Lonchura striata: one gene and its partners. Each later gene encodes a partner of the first gene's protein in a complex. Links are inferred from orthologs where the notes say so. Each region holds a gene or a part of one and is shown in the gene's direction. Other genes may lie near its edges.

What was found.
Region 2: the proteins of EPS15 (region 1) and STON2 are in contact, whole or in part, in an NMR structure (PDB 2JXC), measured with the Homo sapiens proteins. The link is inferred for Lonchura striata from reciprocal best matches to the Homo sapiens genes EPS15 and STON2. Residues at the interface, in NP_001972.1 of Homo sapiens: Leu139, Gly148, Lys152, Pro153, Val154, Leu155, Leu156, Asn157, Ser158, Lys159, Val162, Asp163, Leu165, Gly166, Arg167, Trp169, Glu170, His176, Gly178, Met189, Val192, Tyr193, Leu196, Glu197, Lys198; in NP_001353779.1 of Homo sapiens: Trp309, Arg310, Ala311, Thr312, Asn313, Pro314, Phe315, Glu318, Gln321, Asp322, Gln324, Pro325, Ser326, Ile328, Asn329, Pro330, Phe331, Phe334, Phe335, Glu337, Gln338, Glu339, Arg340.
Region 3: the proteins of EPS15 (region 1) and AP2A2 are in contact, whole or in part, in a crystal structure (PDB 1KYU), measured with the Mus musculus proteins. The link is inferred for Lonchura striata from reciprocal best matches to the Homo sapiens genes EPS15 and AP2A2. Residues at the interface, in NP_031969.1 of Mus musculus: Asp629, Pro630, Phe631, Lys632; in XP_006536218.1 of Mus musculus: Phe442, Phe443, Trp446, Lys447, Asp487, Pro488, Val494, Arg511.

What each region holds. Positions count from the first base shown.
Region 1 is NC_134611.1:10,084,344-10,091,826, forward strand, and holds the start of EPS15 (epidermal growth factor receptor substrate 15), read left to right. Parts: upstream 1-4,429; 5' UTR 4,430-4,444; coding exon 4,445-4,531; intron 4,532-5,935; exon of another isoform or gene 5,936-6,099; coding exon of another isoform or gene 6,100-6,126; intron 6,127-7,483. UniProt on the Homo sapiens protein: Involved in cell growth regulation. May be involved in the regulation of mitogenic signals and control of cell proliferation. Involved in the internalization of ligand-inducible receptors of the receptor tyrosine kinase (RTK) type, in particular EGFR.
Region 2 is NC_134608.1:20,301,986-20,309,591, forward strand, and holds the start of STON2 (stonin-2), read left to right. Parts: upstream 1-4,596; 5' UTR 4,597-4,669; exon of another isoform or gene 4,670-4,695; intron 4,696-5,103; exon of another isoform or gene 5,104-5,131; intron 5,132-5,229; exon of another isoform or gene 5,230-5,252; intron 5,253-5,499; exon of another isoform or gene 5,500-5,799; intron 5,800-7,606. UniProt on the Homo sapiens protein: Adapter protein involved in endocytic machinery. Involved in the synaptic vesicle recycling. May facilitate clathrin-coated vesicle uncoating.
Region 3 is NC_134608.1:45,479,713-45,487,659, forward strand, and holds the start of AP2A2 (AP-2 complex subunit alpha-2), read left to right. Parts: upstream 1-4,907; 5' UTR 4,908-5,027; coding exon 5,028-5,094; intron 5,095-7,947. UniProt on the Homo sapiens protein: Component of the adaptor protein complex 2 (AP-2). Adaptor protein complexes function in protein transport via transport vesicles in different membrane traffic pathways.

The sequences.
Region 1 (7,483 bases):
GTTTAATACTTTCTGAAACATTTTGACATTGTTATGGTTGTAATTAAGACCAGATGAAAATGAAGGAAAGTGGAGAATGTAAGAATAGATAAGAAGATGAAAATAATTGGGAAGACAAGTAAGGAAATCTCAAGAAGAAAAGCTTGCTAGTATCAAGATTTACAGTAATTCCATAAAAATGGTCTTTTACCATTAACAGTCATGTGTTTGTCTTAAAGACAAACCATTTAATAAGAAGAAAAATACCAAGTGCTCTTTTATCTAATTAATTCATGTATCTTATAATTCTGAAATTAATTAATCATCTTTGTGAAGGGCAGAGTAAACTAATTCTAGGTTAGGGGAAGGTTGGGAATTCAGTGTGTAGATTATATTTTTTATATTTTCTGTTTTCTTATAACATAATAATCTTTTAAGTGTTTCAGAAAGGTGAGCAGTGTGTTCCCTGGATTTATAGTATAGACAACATGCCTAAGGAATCAGGGAACAGAAGAAACTGTTGGTAAAAGCTTTTCTGACTGCTACTTTGTAAATATATTAGTTTTCAATCCTCATTTTGGTTTAATATACACTACACACTACGATATTGACATGTTTAATTTATAATGAAGACTGATGCTGTTTCAGCAGTGCTATTGCTTGTTCTATTTCAGAACATGTATTAAGCTGTTCAAGGAACAGTGAAATCTCCAACTGCTACATTAGCTGGACATGTCAGATTAATGCCTATTGAAGATTTTTCTGGGTTTCAAATATGGTCTTGAATGAAAAATGTCATTGTGCTGTCAGTCATTCAGCTAATTATCTAGAATTCAAGCTGACCTCTTGTATATATTTACGTTTTCTCTTATTATTTTACAACATGAAGTGTAGCCCCATGAAACTGGCTAATATAAATTAGTTTGAGAAAAGATGCTTACAGTCTTAATGAAAAGATAAATGGTATATGTTTTAAAATAGCAGATCTGTACTGCTACATTTCAGATTTGCCAGCACTTCCATCAGATATGATTAAAGAGATTCACTCAAACCCTATTCAGGTTATTTTCAATTTTACCATTCTCTTAATAAAAATTCAATATTATTCTTTCTAATTACTACGGTTAAAAGATAATTTTAGCCTTTGTTTTTCTGAATACTGGCAATATAGATTACATCATTTTGCAAAACAAAGAGGTACAATAATTCCATACTTTGTTTCTGCCAGATGAAGGAGTTAAATTCAGATATATTCAAATACTTCTGAACAACTGAACAGAAAACACTTTAGAGATGAACAAATATGCAGTTATCTTAATATCCTAGTTTGTGTTTATTTAATACTGCTACAGTTTTGTATAAATTTGATCATCTCTCAACCCACTTTGAAGTATTTTCAAAGCTGCTATAACTTTGAAAGTGTGCAAACCACATTAAGAAGCCAAGAGCACAGCACAAGATGAATTAGCAGGTGATTCCTATGCAGTTTTCATAACGATCAATGTACATACTCCAGAAAATAGACATCCTCCTAGAGGATACACTATAGGACTCACAGATTACGTGTTTTATGTAGAAGAAACACAGAAATTAACAGGTCTCTACAGAAGGTCAGTTGGAGTCTGGCTAGATGATTGTAATGTTCTCTTGTGGCCTTAAAACATAGCAGCCTATCTGTAACCCTTTGTCTAGAAAACTTGCAGCTGCATAAAATGTAAAGAGCACACAAAGCATATCCTGGGGTGGATTTCTAGATAAAGGCATGCCTGCAGTCGTGACTTCCTAAACCAGCTTGTGTCACTAGTCCTGGAAAGTACCCTGAGATTTCTGATAAAAGGTCTCCTCAGTCCAAAGGTTGTCAAAGTCTGCGTGATGATCTTCCTCCTTTCTCAGGAGGGATCTTTCAGTAGCCTAAGTGTGGGAAGTGCTGTTCTGTACCAGGACTATGGCTGTTGCTTGGCTCTCTGAAACCTGTGCAATGTCTGTTTGCCTGTGGGCAGATTCCCTTGCATTACAGTCTTTGATCATAGAACAGTGATTCCTTTTTCTGGCCAGGATTTTGTGTGTTGATGCATATGTTTCCTTTTGCTCTGTAAAACTCAAAGTGGCTTAATCCTTCTTACTTTTAAATCCTTGGTTCTGTATACGCAATGCTGCAGCTACTGCTCTGCTTTGCACTGGAATTCCAGAGAGCTGGGTACCTCATTTTGTGCTCAGGAATGCAGGAGGCAGGACTGAGTCATTCCTCTCTCAGCCTCCGGAGTGCTCATGGGCTGTAGTAACACCTTTCCTAGAACGAGCAGAACAAGTCACACTAAATGCCTGCGTGCTGTTTTGCGCTTCCCGTGTGCTGATCCATAGGGTAAACAAAGCTCTAGGAAAGGAAGAGATGGACACTTAAGATGTTATTTCTGGGGGGACCAGTAGATGATTAAAATGTTACCAGCTTTACTAACAATCATATTTAGACATCTATAGAACAGTGGTCGTTAGTGTTTGCCTGTGGTGGAGAGCCTTTCTGTGCTACCTTGCACATTTTCAAATTCAGCTGTATCAGAGCAAGTCATTTGTACAGTGTTCCACAGTGGGGATTTGCACCAAAATGGTTGTGCTGCTGCTGTGCTCACTGCACTGCTGCAAGTCCCAGTCTTCACCAGCCATTTGGCTAGTTTTGATTTGTTAGCAGTCCCTTGTTTGTCCAGTGTAGACATAACTTTGTGCATTGTACTTTCAAAGAAACAATAAAGAACACTAAGATCTGGTACCTATTTGTCAAAATGCCAGTATTTAGAATTGTAGAAAATCCTATTACACTTACAAATAAAAGCATGCTAATACTATTTTCCATGTCCTTTGGGCATAAAGTGCACTGTAGTAGAGGATCTTGCAACAAAACATCATATAGCAGTTCTTACAGAGCAGATTACAGATAAATATTTCCTGCAGGAGAATTCATGTTAAATGCAAAAAAGATACAAAATGAAACTGTTAAAGTTCTTGCAGTTCATTGATCTTTTGTCTTTCTTATGTTCTTAACAAGCAAGCTTTCCTGAAAACCCAGCACAGAATCCCACCACTCCTTACAAAATTCACAGAAGATATTTCAAAAGGTCAAGATTCATGGGGTCAGCAAAGGAAGAGATAGAAGAATGGGGTTTCCACTGAGGAGGAAATAAGAGGAGAAGTACATTTAGAAAATCCCTCCATTCCAGATTTCAGGAGCTCTTCCACACTAGCCAAGCCCTGGTGAGCTGCTCATGGCTAAGCCAAGAAGGTCATTGGAGGGCATTGTTTTGCAAACCTGCCAACAGCTTTGAGTAAATTTTAGTAGCTGTGACTTTTCTCTTGGCTGCAAGTAAGTATGAAGTCCAGTTTTGTGATCTAATATCAGGTGATGACATCTCAATTCCAGCTGAGAAGCAGAGAGTTGTTTTTCTTCTGGGAGCTGTCATTCTAGATTTGTGAAAATCTGCAATACAATCATTCACCATCAGCAGGCTGACAAGTGCTGTTGTGATTGTTATAGAGATGTCTGAGGTTCTGAACTGGTTGTTTTAACTCAGGTGGTTGGAGGCATCCAGGACAATTTGTCTGTGAGCTGCACAGAATGATCAACAACAGCACAAATCTACATGACCACACTAATTCAGTGTTGACTATATGAAACTCATTATTGTTTTAATTTGTAGAGGCCACAGTGGTTACCTTGAGGGATTCTTGCCCTCTGACTGTGGACACAGTGGTCATGCCTGATGACTGTGAGCGTGCAGAGCCAGGGTGAAGGTACATAACCACATACCTGGCAGTGCTTGCTTGTTCCTGAGCTGCAGGTGCAACTTGGAGTCTGCCGCAGCAGCTCTGGAGAACACTATGGAAAGGTGCTCTGGATGTGGACTGCTGTGCCCTTCACAGTTTGAGGAAGTAAAATGGGGGGTTATTTTCCAACACAAAGTTCAGGGAGATCAGGCCTTCAGGAGTGGTCTTGGCTGGAGCAGACCTCCCTACTGAACAAGTGTTCTGCTCTGAGGGGACCTGGGGCTTTTCATTGTGCTCTGGGGTGACACAGCTCTGCTGGCTGACTGGCACAAGTCCCTTGACTCAGCACCTGTATTCTAGAGCCTTGCTGCAGCTCTGGGTCCCTTCCTGCACCTGGTAGGAAATACTTGATGCAACACCCAGGAGAGAAAGAGAACAGCAGCAAGAACACTACTGAGCCAGATAGCCTGCCCACAAAATCCTGCTCACAGCAGCTCTCTGCATCAAGCCTCCAACTCCAGAGCCAGATCCCAGGTCCCTGTTTTGCATTTTCCTTCTCTTTGCAGAACACATCAGCCTGGGTGTAACCTCTCTCCTGAGAGGCCACCCGTCCCTGCCAAGCTGCAAGGCTCCAAGATGAAGGAAACAACTGACAGAGCAAAGGGCACCCAAATGAGCTCATGGCTGCTCAGAAATTCAGGCTCTCCAAATGCCCACTAAGGGGCCCCCTCCCAAAAATCCTGCTCTCTCCAGGAGACACAGCTGCAGCTTTACAATCTTCTGGTTTCATTTCCAGGTATTAATTATTCTGGGATAGAATTCGAATTTTAATCAAAGAAGAAAAAAATCTAGAAACATAAAGATAAATCTAGAAATATAAAGATAAATCTAGATATAGAAAAAACCTAGAAATATAAAGTCTGTGCTGTTTTCTAGGGATTTTGCTTATGAGAGAAGTGTGAGGTGGAGTAGAGAAGTGACAAGTGAGTATGTGAATGGTGTGAATATTTTTATATTTATTCTGTTTGCTGTTTATATTCTTCCCCTCCATATTTTCTTTTTCTTGCTGAAAAAATGGCTGAGAAACAGGTTGATAAGGCAGAGCTTCTATAAAACCTTTATAAAGGAATAGGTGGGAAGGAGGGATCCCACATTTCATGACAGATGATGAGCACTAGCAGCTCAGGATGACTGCCAGCTGAGGAATGACAGGATGCAGAGGTGGGGCATGAGCACACGACTGAGCTGAGGAGGACAAAAACAATGCAGAGGGGTATAGAATTATGAACAGATAAAGAAAACAAAGCATGTAGGGAAAGCTTTCCAATAATCAAGTATGACTTCAGCTAATTTTTTCTTACTAGTCCAAATGCATATTTCAAGATTAAATGTGTGCCTAAACCACCTTGGGGTAAAGCATAAAAATAGAAACATTTTCTCTTGGTCCTCAGTGACTTATGTATGCTGAGGTAGTGCAGAGCTCAGAGTAGGAGTGGAAATAAGCCAGTGGGAGGAGGTGAGCAGGTACAGGAGCAGGAGAATGAGCGGTGACATAAGTATTGTTTTCAGCCTGTCTGTACACAATTGTTTCCCATGGGTTTGGAGAATGTGGTGCAGTTTACTCCCCACTCCAGCCTGCTCCTTTGTGTCTTGTTGCAATGTCTCATAGTTTCTCCTGCCATAAGGGTTGCTCATCCCTTTCTTCTGGTTACCCGCCCCAGAAGAGCCACTGTTGCCCTGAGTACAAGCAGGGAGACAGAAGGATGCGTACAACCATGAGTTGCCTGGACAGGCATCTGATTTCCTGTGAGTGGAGGGAAGCAGGAGGCCGAGCCCAGGGCTGCTCCTCACCGCTGTGAGGATGCGTCGGGTCAGGACATCCTGCTGGGCTCACGCGCTGCTTCCTCCTGGGCCTTGTGCCCAATTCTGTTGCAACTGAGACCAGACCTGCTTCACCTCCTGTTTTGGGACTTCCCCACCTGTGGCATGACTGGACTGGAGAACTGCAACCATTCACCATGCTGGAAGCATCTCCAGCAGAAGCAGGGCAAATAGGGAAGGTGAGGGAGAGGCCGGGAGCTGGCAGTGGGGGATGTTGGTCTCCGTGTCAGGCCCATGATTCCGGCTCCGGGTTTTCGCTGCAGCTGCCTCGAGCGGGCTCCGGCTCCGGTAATCCGCGCCCGGTTTTGCGCGCGGCTGCGCTGCCGTGTGGCGGCGGGGGAGGCTCCGGCTCCGTCCGGCGGGCGGGCGCGGATCCGGTGCCGGGATTTGCCCGGGGCCGGCTGGGGAAGTTGCCGAAGTTGTGCGGCGAGTGGCGGGGCCCGGCGCGTCCTTCCTGCGGCCGGGCCGGGGGCATGGAACAGCATGGCCGCGCGCCTCTCCCTGGCACAGGTGAGGGGCTGCGCGCCCGGCCCGGCCGTGCCGCCGCCGCCCGCTCCCGCCCAGGCACGGCCGCGCCGCGGGGCTGCCCGGGGCCCGCGCTTTGTGCGGACGCCGCCGCCCCGCAGCGCTGCCCCGCCGCTGTCAGGTGGCGGCGGGGCGGGGGTGTGTCCGTGTGTGCGGGAGGGAGGGAGAACGGCAGCGAGGGGAGGCGGGTGGGCAGCCCGGCGCCGCGACCCGGGGGTGCCGCGGCCGAGGAACGGGTCCCGCCCGGCCGCAGGTGCCTCTGCCCGGGGCAGGAGACCCGGCCGGGAGCGGCCCCGGGCGGGCGGGGCTGCGCCGGCGGCGGCCGCCGTCCGTCTTTTGTCTCTGTAGGACTCGGGGCTCCGGGCTGGAGCCCAGCGAGCCCCGTCCCGGGAACGGAGGGCGGGCGGAGCCGGGGAGTGTTGGCGGAGGGGCTGAAAGGCGATAGCGCCGGGTTAAGGTGTCCGTGCCCGGTGCCAGCCCCGCGGGCACACCCGGCATCGTGGGGTGCTCCGGGGCAGCGAGACCATGGGCAGGTGGCCCTGGGAGGGATAGACGGATTCCTTGTTTTAGCAGAAACCTGGCTCCGCAAATGCTGCTTGCGGGATCGTTTTACCTTGGTTTAGGTGGGCCCCGTGGTTTTGGGACATTTTTGTCACATAGTGCCCATACAGGTGCCTCATAGTAAAGAGCTGTGGAGGTGGTGGCCCTAAAACTTGGAGACCGTGGCACTGTGTCATGCTCGTGTCATCTCACTTCACCTCAATCCTTCTTGCTCGCATTTTTTTCTGACAGTAGTGGAATCACTTCACACAGGGTATTCTACATCATTAGGATCATGTCTTACTCCCTAGAGCTGCAATAGCTAAGGAATGACATTTTTTGATACTTTCTAATTTCATTTAGCAGTGAGATGAGAAATTTACATTCCTACCTGACATAAGGCTGAAGTGGGCCTTTTGGTTCACTCTCCTGGCTTGGGATGCTTCAATCTGATAGCTAGTTGTGACATTTACAGAAAGCAAAGTGGGTAAATGAGCTTAATAAATTGCTTAAGCACATGGAAGTAAACTTAAAAAGCTGGCAGTGAGGCTGCACAAGTTTACAGTTACTTACCTAGTTTGCTTTTGAGAAGAATATCAACCATTTCAAGGAAAGAAGTAGTTCAGTGAAAAGGTGAGTAAATATATGGAGAAAACAAATATATCTTTAAGAGTCTAAAGGTATAGTTATGAAGTATAGTACTGTCTGTGAAAGCTTGCTTTATATTAAAATGGCTAAGTTAGTATTGTCTGAGTCTCTTAATAGTCTTCAAATAAATGTAAAAGCTTTAAACATCTTACTG
Region 2 (7,606 bases), on another chromosome or scaffold:
AGCTGTGTTGGCTTTTCCTGCCTCTCTGCTAAACTAACAACTTACTGAGTTCCCTACTAGGAGTCTGAGTTTTTTTGGTTTTTTTTTTTTTTTTTTGGAAGGCAAAGGGTTCAAGTAAGTAGGATCTTATCAAAATAGGGCAAGAAAGAAGGATTTCTTCATTTATGTAATCTCTCAACTAACAAACTGAACATTGTATATTAACTGTTTGCCTACCCTGTCTTTCATATTCAGTGACTAGCACCATAGAGACACAAGAAATACTTCTGGTGTTTTGCACATGTAATTGAAAAAAATTGGCCTAATTATTATGTTTGTGTTTACAAGCCCCAAAGAGTTTACTCTTCAGTACATTGTCATTCTTAGTTCAGTTCCAAAAGGTAGATTGATACAAAATACTTCTAAATGTTTCTGGTGATACTAGTTCAGCATCATGAAGCTCATGTTTAGAGTAAACAGTGTGCAAATAATCCTTTGGCTGAATACTGAAAAACTTTATGGTAAATAATACTAAAATTATTAGAAAAGTGAACTAAAAATAAACCCCTTTAAGATTTCAGATCTAGTGTCTCATTAATCTCATTTGGCACTGTGAAAGGTGCTAGAACAAACGGTATTCTGTCATTTTAAAATACTCTTCGTTATTTAAACACAGGGCATAAAATATTAATTTCCACTGTCTCCTTGGGATTTCTAAATGTCAAATCATAAAGACTTCCTTGCAGCTACAGAAAATAAAGTTTTCAAAACACATAAAATTAGTATGTTTGATGAGCCTTTAGCTCTCTCTATGCTTATATTGAGAATTTGATGCTTCCAAATTTCTCCACTAGCCACTGCACTCCAGGCACTGCTATTCTACAAACTCTTCAGTTGCTCAGATTGCAGCAGAACAAGCTCTGCAGATGCTGGTAATTTGGTTTGCTGCTAGATGGCAAAACAAGGGTGTCTGGTCATTGAGAAATGCCCTTCTGTGAGAAAAATATTGCTTGTGAAGGGGAGGTGAAGGTGATGGTCTGCCATGCTGGAAATAGTGCGTTTGTCCCAGCAATATTTGTTTAAATCTAATCTTGCCATTACTGAGATGTGCAGTTAAATCTCTCCTGAAGGATGTGATCTTCCAGACTGGGCTGTGGCAGCTGGAGCAAAGACCACACAGGTGTGTGCACACGGTCTGAGGTAAGGGAGCTAAGCAAACAATCTTTTGGCACCACACGTTTTTTTTTCTTTTACTGCTCTGTGTGTCAATATCAGCTCACTGGCTGAGAAGTAGCACTTCTGTGAGACTACTTTGTGATACAGTATAAAGAAATATGAAGTACAGACTTAACTGTGGAAGGTAAAGAAAAAAGGTAAAGAAAATCTCAAAGTTCTTCTGTACACTTCTGAGTGGAGCCTCTGTTGGCACACAACTAAGGATTAAGTCACACTGCCTCATTTAATATGATGAAATATATTGAATTCTGTTAACTGACAAATTTAATTAAATTTGCAGTAAAGCTTGCATGAGAATCATGGTTTTGTATTGGAATAAAATAGCAGCATTTTCCAGGATATAATGAATTATTAATATCTTTATAATGAAATATTAACATTAAAAACTCTAGCTGTCAAGTTGAAAGAACAAAAAGTCAGGTTATGTGTATATTCAAAATAAATTAGAATTGGGATCATTCTAGCTTTTAGTTACTCAGTACATGTGTTTATAGTTATGATTTCACATGGTCTAACCCAGTAAAGTCATATCGTAAATACATCTTCTACATCAGTCAGAATATTAATACTAGAATGCTATATTTTTTAGGGTTAATATTGTCATATTCTAGAAAATGGAAGAATATAATCTTTATTCTTCAAACCCAAACTATTTCAAGTAGGAAAATCAGACTCTCTGGAGTAGGTTTGATTTTTTTTTTTTTTTAACTTTTTTTATTTCCCCTATGTCTTTACTTTGGTGGTGATAAATGCTCAAGTATATTCTAACTTCTCTTTCAATTGTAGGAACACAAATGTTCAACCAGAAATTGAATATACTTATTTAAATAGAATAATTTTGGGTTTGATGTTCTGATGTAATAGAATATTTCAGTGGACCTGTAATGACCATCAAATCAAAAAAGGATCTGTAGTGACCATCAAGCTTAACTGCCTGATCACTGCAGGGCTGACCAAAAGTGTTTTCTGTGGCTTTGATTCTGAGAAAACTCAAGAAAATATAAGAACCTCTATCAGGTTTGTTACCTGCTACTCCTTCCATTCCAGATCTTACTAGTAAAAGAACTTCAGAAATATAAAGCAAAAATTTCTTGCAAGTCCAAACAGAATGGCAATAGTAAACAGAGTTGTGTGATGTTGTGGTAAGGATGTTGTAATTTGGAATAAATAGTGTAAGAGAATCAAATGTTGTAACATGTTTTTGCTCTTACCCCACCTCTGTCCTACTCCTCCTTTTTAAAAGGATGCTTAATACAGGAACTTCAATTTACCTAATACCAGAAAATGTAATTGATCCTAGAGCAAATTTAAGCCTGGTAATCTGCACAGAAGAGGAGAAGTGCTTAAAAAGCAATATATTCTATGCAAGCTCTTTTCCTTTAATGATATCTTAAATGAGGAAACATCCCTCTCCTCAGCCCTTAAAGGCTGATCTAAAGGCTGTTAGTAAATATGCTCTGGAGTGAAAAGAAAGAAAAGATGGAAAATATATTTCTGGTGATTGTAACCTGATTGATGACATTTCATGCTTTGTGCTTTAGCAATGAGAGATACAGCAGCCAACTGCAGCTGTTGCACTGTGACAGCATTTGTAGCTGTCACAAGCCTTTGTGACTATAAGTTCAAATACTGTTGTGAAAAGTTACTATGTAATAGCTTTTACTTTTCTTCAGAAAACAAAGAAGATGAAAAAGTAAAAAAAGAAATGGGGTTCAGAATTTGACTAAAACCAGGGAAGGATTGATGGCCTTCAAGTCTCTTTCTAGCCAGGATCTTTCATAGTACAGTACACCAGAGGTCAATAATGTAATTCTGGATCCTGGGTTTATTAAAGATGGCGAAGATAAAGAGAAACAATTAGAAAACTAATCTGTAGTTCTTTTGGCTCATAAAACAAAGACACCAGTTGTACCTGAGTAGAACTATCTACGTCCTTGTTGAATTTACCCTGTACACATGTAAATGAGTCTGAGAGCCAGACTAAACCCATTTGGGCCCATGGGCAGATTATTCAACTAAACATCTTCCAGGTGACTGGCTTTGTCTGGGCAATCAACATCTTCTACTGCTGGGTAAGAGAATCCGCAAGTCCCGTTTGGGGAATGTGCGAGTTGCGTGCTCTTTTCCCGCAGCCACCTCTAGCTGGCACTCGTGTCGGTGCTTCGGGACACGCGATGTCCCCCGCTTGTGCCACGGGGGCCTTGGGCTTCGGTTCGAGTGTTCTCTGTAATGTTTGTCCGCACACTGCTCTGCACCAGGACCCCCTTTGAAAGCCCCTTGGAAACAATCGGGCGAGCCAGACATGCTAAGCTGCTGAGTGTAACATCAGTTGTAATTACATAGTTATCTTGCACTTTGCATTTGAGATTTCCCCGTGGTTTTGCACGTTTTAAAACTCTTAGTTCACCCAGAGAAGAATAAAACTGCAACCTTCTTTTTGTTTTCCTTTTTACAGTCAGTCTCCATTACTAATTAAGGCTTTTATTACCATGTTTATTGCAAATGGTCAATAACATTTCTGAGCTTGCAAGGTTGAATTTTCTAGGAAGCTCTTTGGTGACTTGCTACTCCCTCAGCTCTCCAGAGGTATTCTTTGAGTCTGGTAATGGCTGTAAATGTACATATCTGTACTCATGTTTGAGCTAACGATGTACATATTCATTTTGCATAAACTTCCTTTCAGCTGGAGCGTTGGAAATGTACTGGGATTAGAAGTTAATTTCACCATAAAGACATTTTCATATGCAAATTGCTCTCTGAACTATTTAAAGGCAGAAATAAGATTACTATTACCATGAAATTTATTTTATTAGGTTTGTAATACTCTTACAGTTCAACAGCCTAAGCACAATTTGGTTCATAGACATTCTATTAATTTATACCTGCTTAATCCATAATCCACAAAATTCATGAGGACCCAAAAAAAGAAGTGAGGTGCCTGTTAATTGGTGTTAAAGGTGTGTACACGAACTCACCAGTTACAAATAAATAGCGCTATATTTAAGCACGCCTGTTGAATAACCCCGAACGGAAGGATATTTTGTTTGCATTATCGATTGTTATCTGTACATTGATATTTATTTTTGTCCGTGGGTGAACAGAGGCGGCAAAGTCCGTTGCCTTTGAATCGCACTTAGAAGCGGGCCCTAAGCAAATGGGACGGGATCAATGCTGGGAGCAGCGGGGCCGGGGGGGGGGGAGCAGCGGGACCAGCCCGGGGGGGAGCAGCGGGGCCGGGGGGGAGCAGCGGGGCCCGGGGGGGAGAGCAGCGGGCCCGGGGGGGAGCAGCGGGGCCGGGGGCGGCTCCGCTCGGGGCGGGGCGGGCGGGCCCGGCCAATGCGGCGCCTTGGCCGCCGGGGAGCGCCCAATGGCGGCGGCGCGGGCGGGCCGGGCCGGCCGGAGGCGATCGCGCCGGGAGCGCGGGCGCAGCGCCCGCGGAGCAGCGCGGCCGGCGGTGGGTGCGCGGGGGGCCGGCGGTGGGTGCGCGGGGGGCCGGCGGTGGGTGCCGGGGCCGGCGGTGGGTGCGCGGGGGGCCGGCGGTGGGTGCGCAGGGTTGGCGGTGGGTGCCGGGCCGGCGGTGGGTGCGCAGGGTTGGCGGTGGGTGCCGGGGCCGGCGGTGGGTGCGCAGGGTTGGCGGTGGGTGCCGGGCCGGCGGTGGGTGCGCGGGGGGCCGGCGGTGGGTGCGCGGGGTTGGCGGTGGGTGCGCAGGGTTGGCGGTGGGTGCCGGGGCCGGCGGTGGGTGCGCGGGGGGCCGGCGGTGGGTGCGCGGGGGGCCGGCGGTGGGTGCCGGGCCGGCGGTGGGTGCGCGGGGGGCCGGCGGTGGGTGCGCAGGGTTGGCGGTGGGTGCCGGGCCGGCGGTGGGTGCGCAGGGTTGGCGGTGGGTGCCGGGGCCGGCGGTGGGTGCGCAGGGTTGGCGGTGGGTGCCGGGCCGGCGGTGGGTGCCGGGCCGGCGGTGGGTGCGCGGGGGGCCGGCGGTGGGTGCGCGGGGGGCCGGCGGTGGGTGCCGGGGCCGGCGGTGGGTGCGCGGGGGGCCGGCGGTGGGTGCCGGGGCCGGGCGACCGCGGCCCGCGGGGAGGAGGGGGCTCTGCCTTCGGAGCCTCGAGGAAGGGGGCCCGCGGCTCGGGGCGGGCGGAGCACGCCAGAAACCGGAGCCGGGGAGCCTGAGGGAAGGCAGGTGGCCCTGCTGGCGGAGCTGCGGCCGCCGGCCGCCCCTCGGTGCCCGCCGCGCTCCGGCCCTTTGCCCGGCCGGGCCCGCTGTACCGAGTGGGACCCGTTCCCCTCGGTGCCCGGGGCCCGCGGAGGCTTGGGGCAGCCCAGCACCCCTCGGCATGCGCGGCTGTGCGCCTGCGAGCGGCTCGGGGCTGCGGAGGGGTTAATGCTCATTAGCAGCAGCGCGGGGAAGCTGCTCGTATCCACCTACCCCTCAGCTGCTCTGTGGAATTACTCATGGTTTGGGCTCTTTTCTTGCTTGAGTCCGCTGAATTGTGCTGCTTTTGAAACGCTTTTCTGCGCTTCAGATATTGCAAGGCAAACAAATATCGCTCGCTCATCTTTCCGTCGGCGCTTTTGAATACGCTGTAAATTGTAGGTTTAAAATGCTCAAATTACATATTTCCACGCAAAGTGGATTTTTGTGTTGATATACGATCAGACAGCCTTTTCTCTGCTCATTTGTTTAGTGCATGTGTTAAATATTCTTCCTGCGCTGCATCTCTTCTCTGTTGATTTTTCTTAATTGTTTTGTGGATTAATTTGTTGTAATCAGCCTCAACTTTTCTGATTCTTTCATTCCCATAGCTTAATCTTTTAGAGACTTAAGGTTTCTAGAGACAAAAAGTTTTAAAATTGCTCAACTGCTTGACTAGATCGGGTTATGACTAGATCGTAGCTCCAGTCTTCTCATACTTTAGTTCTGCCTTTTGCTGGGAAATACCCTTAGGATAATTTTGCAGTAGTGGTTTGAGGGCACTTTTGCTATTGTCAAGGCAAAAATTTGGCAAACATTGGCATTTCTTTACTTGTGAATCAGATATGAATCATTCTTGTCTTCTGTGAAACGTGTATTTTGCAAATTACTAGTCTGGACAAGTAAACTTCAGACTACAGGTTGCTTGGAAAATGATCGTGTTCGCTAATTCTGGCATGTGACTGATTTTGTTTTTTCTTTTCTCTGCCAAGGTGATGAAAGCATACCTTACATTACACAGACAAGTGAGATCTGGACTTTGCCTTAATATTGTCCAGATAAACAGGCTTATTTTAATAAAGTTTGTGTTGTCACCAGAAAGCTTAAAAAGCAGTTTCCCACATCTCTATGAGATGTATTATGTGGGATTATGCAACACATTGGACTTTCCTAAATACTTATTTTCCTAATGGCTAAGTTGTCTCTTCTCTGAGAATTTTCAGATTTGATTGATTATAATTTAAAGCAATGTTCACTATGAATTACTTTGTTATGTCATGCTTTTTTTTCAGGTAAATCTTTGACCTTTTCTATATATTATTAATGGCTTTTCATTATATTTCTATGATGCTTTAAAGTACAAAGTGAGCAATAGTAACTGCCTAGCAGATCTAACATACAGGTTTCCTTATATATAGGATTACAGCTGGCAACTTTAGCGATCTCTGCTCTTCATAGTTTTGGCTTTTAAATTATTTTTAAAATATCAGTGTCATCAGGAGCATGGCCATTAAACTTTGCAGTAAGAGAAAAGGGTCAGATATTTTTTTCTCTCACAGGATGCAGTGAATCTCAGTTCTGACTAGTTGTACGTTCTTATAATTTGTGTCTTCCGTTATCATTAAGGACAGAACAGCATATGTTGGTCTTTAGCTGCATAGCTTTCCTTGAGTTCCTTGTATCCCTCACTACATCAGTGGCATAATTAATACTCTGTGTGGTTGGTTTAGATTACAGTCCAAGGGATGCAAGGTAAAAAGCTAACAGCTACATCTCAGTAGTGGCCAATTCCCTGTGTTGAGTCCTTGTTTGTGCTGCCTTGCCACCTATCTTGTTAAGAACTAGCAGCTGGTACAGTTCCCTGGTTGAGAAACCCAGACTGTGTGTGGGTTAAAACCATACTGTGAGTGGGCTAAATACATCATGTTTGTAGAGTCTGTAATTTTCAGCTATCTCAAGTCTGGCATCAGCAAGTGAAGATGAGAAGTGGTATCTAAGTGTGTTACAAACCTCTCAAGATGTTTTGCTCTGCAAGGCTTCTGTTGCCCCTGAAGCAGTGACTTTTCCAGTCAGTGAGACAGTTTCCAAGCTGGCATCAGCTGTAAGGTCATGGCTTGTGGATTCTCCTGCTCTGACACTTGGCTCCTGGTAGTACCCTTTCTTCATGCAGCCTTTAACCCAGGTATTGCACTGAGACTTTGTGCA
Region 3 (7,947 bases), on another chromosome or scaffold:
TAGATTCTAACTACATTTGCAGAAAGAACCTGCATCACTTAGTAAAGGAAGGCCGGGAAGCATACTGCTGATGCATTTTTAAATGAAAGCAACAGCGGGGAGTGAAGAGTGAGAATAAATCCGTTTCTAACCTGTGTAAACATTAAACCCTCCCCTCTTGCAAAGTGCACCACTTTGGCGTTCAGAATTCCCTCCCACACTCGCCCAGCTCTGGAGCTAGCAGGGAGCCCGCACGGCATCAGCGCCCAGCCCGGCGCCGCTGCGGCCGCGCCGAGCTCGGCTCCGCTGGCGCAGCCCCGGGCGGCCGCCTCTCCCCCGCCCGAGCGCAGCCTCACCCCCGCCCTTTCCCCCTCTGCTCCGTGCCTGCCCTGCCGGGCCCAGCCCCGCGGACACCACGTACCGCCCGCCGCCGCCGCGGAAGTGCGGGCGAGCGGCAGCGCCCCGCCCCGCCCCGCCCCGCCCCGCCGGCTCCGGGCGGCGCCGGGGCGGCGGCAGCGCCAACATGGCGGGGCGGGAGGGGCGCGGCGGCCGCGGCTCCCCGGCGCTCCGGGCCGGCCCGGCGCTGGCCTGGCCCGGCCCGGGCCCGTGCCTTGCGGCTCATCGGTAGCTGAAGAAAGGAAATGCTAATAATGGTGTGATTCTAAATTCCCATAGAGACCCTCTTGGTTTAGCCCAAGCTATAGCACATTGGTACAGATTTAGCCTGGGGAGGAGGAAGTTCAGGGGTGACCTTATCGCTCACTGCAATTGCCCAAAAATAGGCTATAGCTAGGTTGGGATCAGCCTCTTCTCAGGTTACCAGCAACTCAAAAATAAATGGCCTTAAGCTATGGCAGGGCGGGGGGTCAGGTTGGACCTGGAGGTCCAACCGGGAGGAATTCCTTCACAGAAGGTGAGGAGACATTGGGAGGGGCTGTCCAGGTAGGTGCAGAGTCACCATCCCGGGATGTGTCTTAAGAAAAACTTAGAGCCATGGTCTAGTTGAAGTAGTGATGTTTAATCACAGGTTAGACTCGATTATCTCCAAGATCTTTCCAAAACAAATTGTTTCTGTGATTCTGAGAAAAAAATGTAGGTAAATCAGGAACTTGGGCTAAAATGCACACACTGACCAGGAGGCAAAATGATCGTGTAGGTAAGGCTGCAAAGAGTCTGCAGGCAGTACTGATGACTCTGGGTCTGCAGAAAGGAGGGGTCAAATCTCAGATGGCTTTTAACAGGCTCTAAAATAAAAGATAGTGGATTTAATTGAGTTTTTTATTTTCTTCTGCTTTGACCTTCTACAGTTTGTGTTTTTGTGTGCAGCATGGCTTGTGATGCTGCTATTTTTACTGCAGCAGAAATTTTGGTATAACCCTGTTATTTCACAGGCTGCTTGCAGGGACTAAATACCCTATCAAAAGACTTGATAAAAAAATGGATGTGTTATATCATGATGTAGATGCAAGGCCAGCATATCCTAGCAGTGAAATTCCCAATAGAAGCTATCCTGTGACCTGCTTTCTCTCTTGGTTACAGTTTAGTGCAATCTACTAGAAGCTTGAATGGAAGGTTGCCTTATTCTGCTGAACTGCCCTCTTCTTTCATTCCATCTTGTGTAATGAAGATCTTAATGAGCATTCTTCAGCACTGGAAAGGAAAAAATGGAAATATTTTTGCTCTGAACAGAAGTCTTATCTGTGAAGCAGATGCATAGTCTTCTATGCCCAGATGCACCCCAAATTTCTGTAAATTTAGATTTCATGATAATGATATTAGCCGAACTTTGTGTTTTCCAGTGTTGAAAGCAGCCCACCTGATACTCTGGCAGAAGGCATTGTGCTCTCCTTTAAGGGATAATGAATGTTCAATGTCAAGTACAGAAATATGGTTGTGTATGCATGGTGGAGCCATGGATTCTGTTTAGTCCTGAGTTCTTTTTGGTTCCAGTAATGACTGGAATGATCATGAGGAGCAGGAGAAAACAATAACTGGTGAGACAAATGTGAGAGAAGTAACAAAAGGAAAGGAACAATTCCCTTTTTGTAGTTCCCACAACTGGATCCTCACCAGCTGAAAACACTCAGATGAATAGTAATAGTTTTATGAAGGTCACTGTAATTATTAAAGCCTTTGTACCGGTGCAATAAAATTCTGGAAAAAAAATTTAATTACTCCCATATAAAATGGGAACTAGGGGACAAACACTGGATCTGTTGGCAAACAAATGTGATGCCAATTGTTTTATGTAATAGGAAAATATTTCTTGGTACTATCTCCCCTTTAATGTTGATTTTACAATTATAAATATTAAATTATCATAACATCTTGGGATGGATAGAACCACTTATGTTTGTTTTTAGGCAGCCTGGTGTTTTATAGATGTTAGGCTCAAACCAAAATATTTTACAGAATTACCAACTCAGTGTGTTTGCAAAGGGTTGTGCCTGGTTGCAAGCTCTGTGCTGAGTAACAGCTGAGTTCACATTACAATGTTTCTTTCAGCCAGGATGCATCTAGAGACCATTACAGACTCTCTTTCCTTTAGATACCCTACTATTCACATAAAATTTCTACCTTGTCCTTACCAAGACATCTGAAATTTTCTACTAAGTTCTAAGTTCTGAGGCAGTAAGGACAGACATGCCTGATTGCGCAAGCCTTTGATGAGGCAAAAAGACAGCAGGGTGAATATAGTGAAGCTTTGAAATCCAGTCAAAGGAGGTTGACATAAAATAATCAGGGTATGTGTACTGCATACTGAGCCCCTTCAAATGAAACATTTAGCTGTATGAGGCAAAACTAGAGTCATCCACATGTGCTAACCACTTGGATATTTTCCCAGTTCTCAAGAAGAATTTGCAGCTCATGCTTAGCTTGGTACTGCCACAGCTATCCTGCTGGCAGTACTTAAAGCACTGCTGAAAAGGCAGTTGGATACCTGCATGACTTGCAGTATTGACAGGAATACAACCAGACAGGACTGGTAGACTGAGCCTTTAGGTGTCACTGTGCTCTTAGGAGTAGAAATTAACTCAAAAAAGAGTTTGTTTTTTTTTTTGTTTTTTTTTTTTTTTTTTTTTTTTTTTCTGATCACAGGAAAAGCCTGATTTGGTGACATAGGAAGTTTTCACATTCAAAGGTGCATGGAAATTATTATTAAGCATAAAAATATATTTGTAAAGCTGTGGAAAAGGAGTATGTTCTTCATGAAAGCCTACAAATCTGAGTTGAACAGTAGACTAATTGTGCATGACTGCCTGTATTTGCACTTGGTCTACAAAATGGATCCAGGAACAAAGTGATAATTGCATGAGTTGCATGCTGTCATCTTGCCTTGCTCATAGACACTTGCACAACTAAAAAGCACTCATGTAACACTGTATCCTGAAAACACCTGGAATAGAGCCTTCAGAGGTGACCTAACTAAGATATACAGCCACTGTCAGACATACAGATCTTTATGAGAGAAAAATGTATCATGAAGTTAAAGGTACTGGAACTTGCTGAATCTAAACAAGATGCAAGTTCTAAACAAGGAGAACTAACCATGGGAGGAAGCTATCCAGGGCAACAGTGAATTATGATTGTATCAGAGCGAGACTCAGTGCCTTTCTGGAAGATAGACCATAGCTAAAAGCTAGATGTTGGGCTAAGCTCATGGTGTGTGTGTGTGTGTGTGTGTGTTAAACAAACAAACAAAAAACCCCAGATGAAATTAAATGGTTTGAAGTATGCTGAAATAGAGGAGAAATGACTGACTGATCTCCTATAGCCCTAAGCCCCATGATTCTATGAGTCATTATTCTCCACTAAGCATATTTTTCCTTGCATCATGAGTGAAGCCCCCAGCACACTTTTGGTTAGGCAGTCTAGGCCAGTTTTGAGACTATTTGAACCTATTTTCAGCTGAAGATATTAAATGCTCTGCATAGTCCAACCTCTTCGTCACGTTTAAGACAGTTTAACCTTGAGATGTTTTCAGGCTCGGGAGTAGATGTGGTGTGTGTGTCACTCTGCATGTTTACAGCCATCGGGAGGAACATGTGGCCCTGGGTTTCAGGGAGTCAGGGAGTGGGAATCTACATGAACGTGGAGCAACTGTGCCACTCACACGAGCGACGGCGGGCTCCCAAGGGGATGTGCCTAAGGATGGAGCTGCGCACAGTCGCCTCCGGGCTTGTCAGTGCTCACAGGGACTGTGCAGGGTACGTGCAGGAGATCCCGTGCACTGCTTTGGGGTCCCTTTTGAGGAGGAAGACCAAGGCACAGCCTCCTGCAGTCCACCCTGTGGAAAGCATATTCTTACGGACTATGCCACAGAGAGTCTTTACCTGGCTCTCCATATTTTAAAAATAAGATCCCAGATCAATAGTCTGCTCAAAGCTTAGGTGATGAAGTGAAATTTTCCGGTATCTTGATCAACGGTCCTTCTCCTTCTCCCTCAGCAGTTACATCCTTTGAGGTGCCTGAGAAGCCCCGTATTTCACCTTCAAAAATCATCAAACTTCTCGGCCATTAGGGTCACGAGGAGAGGAAGAGGTGAGGCTGTTCCCGAGCAGGGAGCGTGCAGTGAATTCACCCACGGACACAGCGGCTAACGCTGCCCTGCCGCCCCTCACCTCGGCCCGGGCCCGCTTTCCCTCACGGGCGGTGACTGCAAATCGCGTGCCAGCAGCGGCACGGCCCATCCCCAGGGCCCGGCCTCCAGCTAGCCAGCCCTTCAGGGCCGCAGGGTCGCACGGGGAACGCCCGGGAGCGGGGCAGGTCTCGGGGCACATCCCGGGGGACGGGCGGGGTCCGCGCCCGCCGTGGCTGCGGCACCGGGAGGCGCAGAGCCTCCGGCGCACCCGCGGCGCTCCCGCCTCCGCACGGCAGGTGGCGCACGAGCAGCGCCCGCCCGGCGGCTGCGGGGGCGCGGGAGCCCCGGCGGCGCCTGCGCGCTGCGGAGGCGGCGGAGCGGCCTGAAGCAGCCCGCGGGGAGAGCGGGCGGCGGCTGCGGGGGTTCGGCGTGTCGCGTCCCAGGGCGGCCGTGATCGTGCGCCACGATGCCTGCCGTGTCGAAGGGCGATGGCATGCGAGGCCTGGCGGTCTTCATCTCCGATATCCGCAACTGTGAGTGGCGCCGCGGCCGGGGCCTGGGCTGGGCCGCGCCGGCCGTCGCCATGGGCTGGTGCCCCGTGGGGCCGGGGCTTCACCCCTCGATCCCCTTCCCAGTGCTTTCCCTCTTCCCTCTGATCCCCGCGGCGGGCAGCTCGGAGCGCTCCTGTCTCACGAAATGGCGACGCGCTCGGGGGGGCGGCGCGGCGGGGAGGGGGGGCCGCATAAAGCATTTGCCCGTGGGTGTGAGCGTTTTGGGTGGGTGGGTTGGGGTGTTTCCCTGCCCCCTCGCCACCCCCGTCACCCCCCTCCGCCGTGCCTGAGCGCCGCGGGGGTGCCGGGGTCGGTGCCCGTTGTTCGCGATGCGCCGAGCGGTGCCGGGGCGCGGGTGGGTGTGCGGCGGGGCAGGGAGAGGCTCCCTGGGCTCCTTCCAGATCCCCGAGCGGCTCTCGGCTCGGCACGTCACTGATGGAAAACAGGCCTCTGTAGGCGCCTGAGAGCAGGGCCCTCTGCGCGTATGCCTAGCCTCGGCTTAAGCTGGCTTTAAGGTGGGAAGCAGCGCTTGGGATCGGTGTAATTAAAAATGGGATGGAGGGAGGTGCGAGTAAGTGCCCCCCCCCCCCCCCCCGAGAGAAGTGCGGGGAGCGTGTCCGTGAGTGTGCAGCGGGAGAGGAGGAGTACAAATCTGCTGTTGCTGCTTGGTGTGGGGGGAAGGGGTATGTGTGGGGGCACACCTCAGTGCTCAGTCTTCCTTTTCGTCCGAAATTGCATACAATAGTTTAATATTAATCGGAGTTAGAGATCTAAGGGTATGATGTGGCAGGAATTGCCTGGGGAAGGGCTAAGGTCGCTGTGGTTGGTGTGATGAAACAGCTCTATTTTGTCCACCTGTGAGTCTTTGTAGATCACTTGAGGCTATTTTAAAAGCAGTGGAGGAATGGCAGTAAGCATTTCTCTCTAAAGATATAAACAGATTTGGAGAATTTTTTTAATGCAAATTGTGTTGTTGTGACTGGGCTTGTGTTGGCATTATTTAATCACACTGGGTTGAAAAACTTCATATTGGTGACTTCTAATAGAAAAAAACCTGGCAAAAAAATTATACTGGTAAAATGAGACCATTTAAGTGCAGTGTCTTTATAATTGGGTGATTAGGACATCAAGACATGTGAACAAATTCAAGGTCGATAGTCTTCCTTAGAGCAGAAGCTGTTTGAATGAGCTGTTTTCTTTTTCAAAGCAGTCGCAGATCCTTAGGTTTCTGTAGACTTCACCCTAGTGTGTGTAGAAGATGGCTTATAAAAGGTGCAGTGTAGCAGTTCCAGGTTACACAAATGCTCTTGTGCTTTGTCTGTTTGGCCTGGCTATTTAGTGAGCGTTTTACAATGTCCTGGTGTTCTGTGCAAGCTACGAGTGTAGCATAGTTCCACTTGGTATCACAGCAGTTAAGACTTGTTAAGCTGTTGTATCTACCCAGTGCAATTCACAATGATTTTTTTTAGTCATTGTTTTCATTGATTTAGCTAGAAACAGTATGACTTGATTCATCAGTGTTTTCGTGTCTTGCAGTTGGTTAACTTTGTTCACACTTGTTTTCAGAGGAAATCTCTAGAAGTAAATACAAGGGAAACATTTGGGCTCTTAGGTTTGTACCCAAAGTGTTCAGTGTTCAGGAATATGAAATAACAAAATTTAAGGTTGTAGGATATAACAAAACAGGTAGTTATTTCCCCACAAGGCAATGAGAGAACAGAGCTGAAGCTACCTTGGTCGAGATGGGACAACAAACCTCTCACGCTCTAGTTATCTGCAGGAGAAACAAAGATGTAACTTACTGGTGATACAAATAAAATGTTAACACTTCGACTCTTCATACAAGTAGTGGTATGTCTCAAATGTTTTGTCTATGTCCAGACAGATGTTTAGGAGCTGTAGTTACTTGTGTATCTTTTTTGCCTTCATAATGAAAAAAGTAGCAGCATCTTTTAAACAGCTGCAGAAGAGCTGGTATTCCTGCTAGTAGGTGATGTATGAAGCTTCCAAATAGTTGTGAATGGCATTTGAGCCTTTCCCTTAGTGGAGCTCTCTGAGTGCTGCCAGCTAACCCTGGGCTAGTGTACACAGACTAAAATTCACAAAAGTGCTTCCTGGAGTATTCACAGAAGTACTCTCTGGAGACTTTGGGCTTTGTAGGTACTGCTTTTGGCTAAACTCCCTCTTTGCCTCTTCAGTGAGGAGCTAGATGTCAAGAACAAAAAGTAGCAGTTGTTAAGGTGAACAGCATCTTTTGAGTAAGCAAAGAAAGCAAGTGTTCCTTTCTGAGAAGGGAGGGAAGCTAGACACCACGGGCAGCTCTTAACCTCTATTTCTAGCCTTAAAATTGGACTAAATATCTGATAGTTGCAGTAACATGGAAAGTTCTGCTGGCATTTTTAGTTTCAATCCAAATTTTGGCTTTGCTGGACTCTTGTATCTATTTTTAGTACTGCCACAAAGGCTTGGCACTTTTAGTTTGCCAATAGCCTTTCTGAATTATGAGTAACAGTGAAACATGGTGTCTGTGGGGGGGTTATTCTGAAAGATTCTGCACAGATAAGGATTCTACATTATAGATCTTGCTGAAAAATGAAAGTGCACTTGTTGTGTGCTGCCTGTGCTGGGATGGATGCACAGCATGTGATTTCAAATAATTCAAGTAACCTAAACTTCTGGGGGGTACTTATGTAAATTTTGACTCTTTACCTTTGGAAATGCTTGATCTCCTTACATCAAGATTTATTTTTGTAACATTTGTATCTACAATGTCTGCAGCACTAAATAATGTAGGATTTTCTTACAGGTTGGATATGTTACTGACTTGGGAGTGAT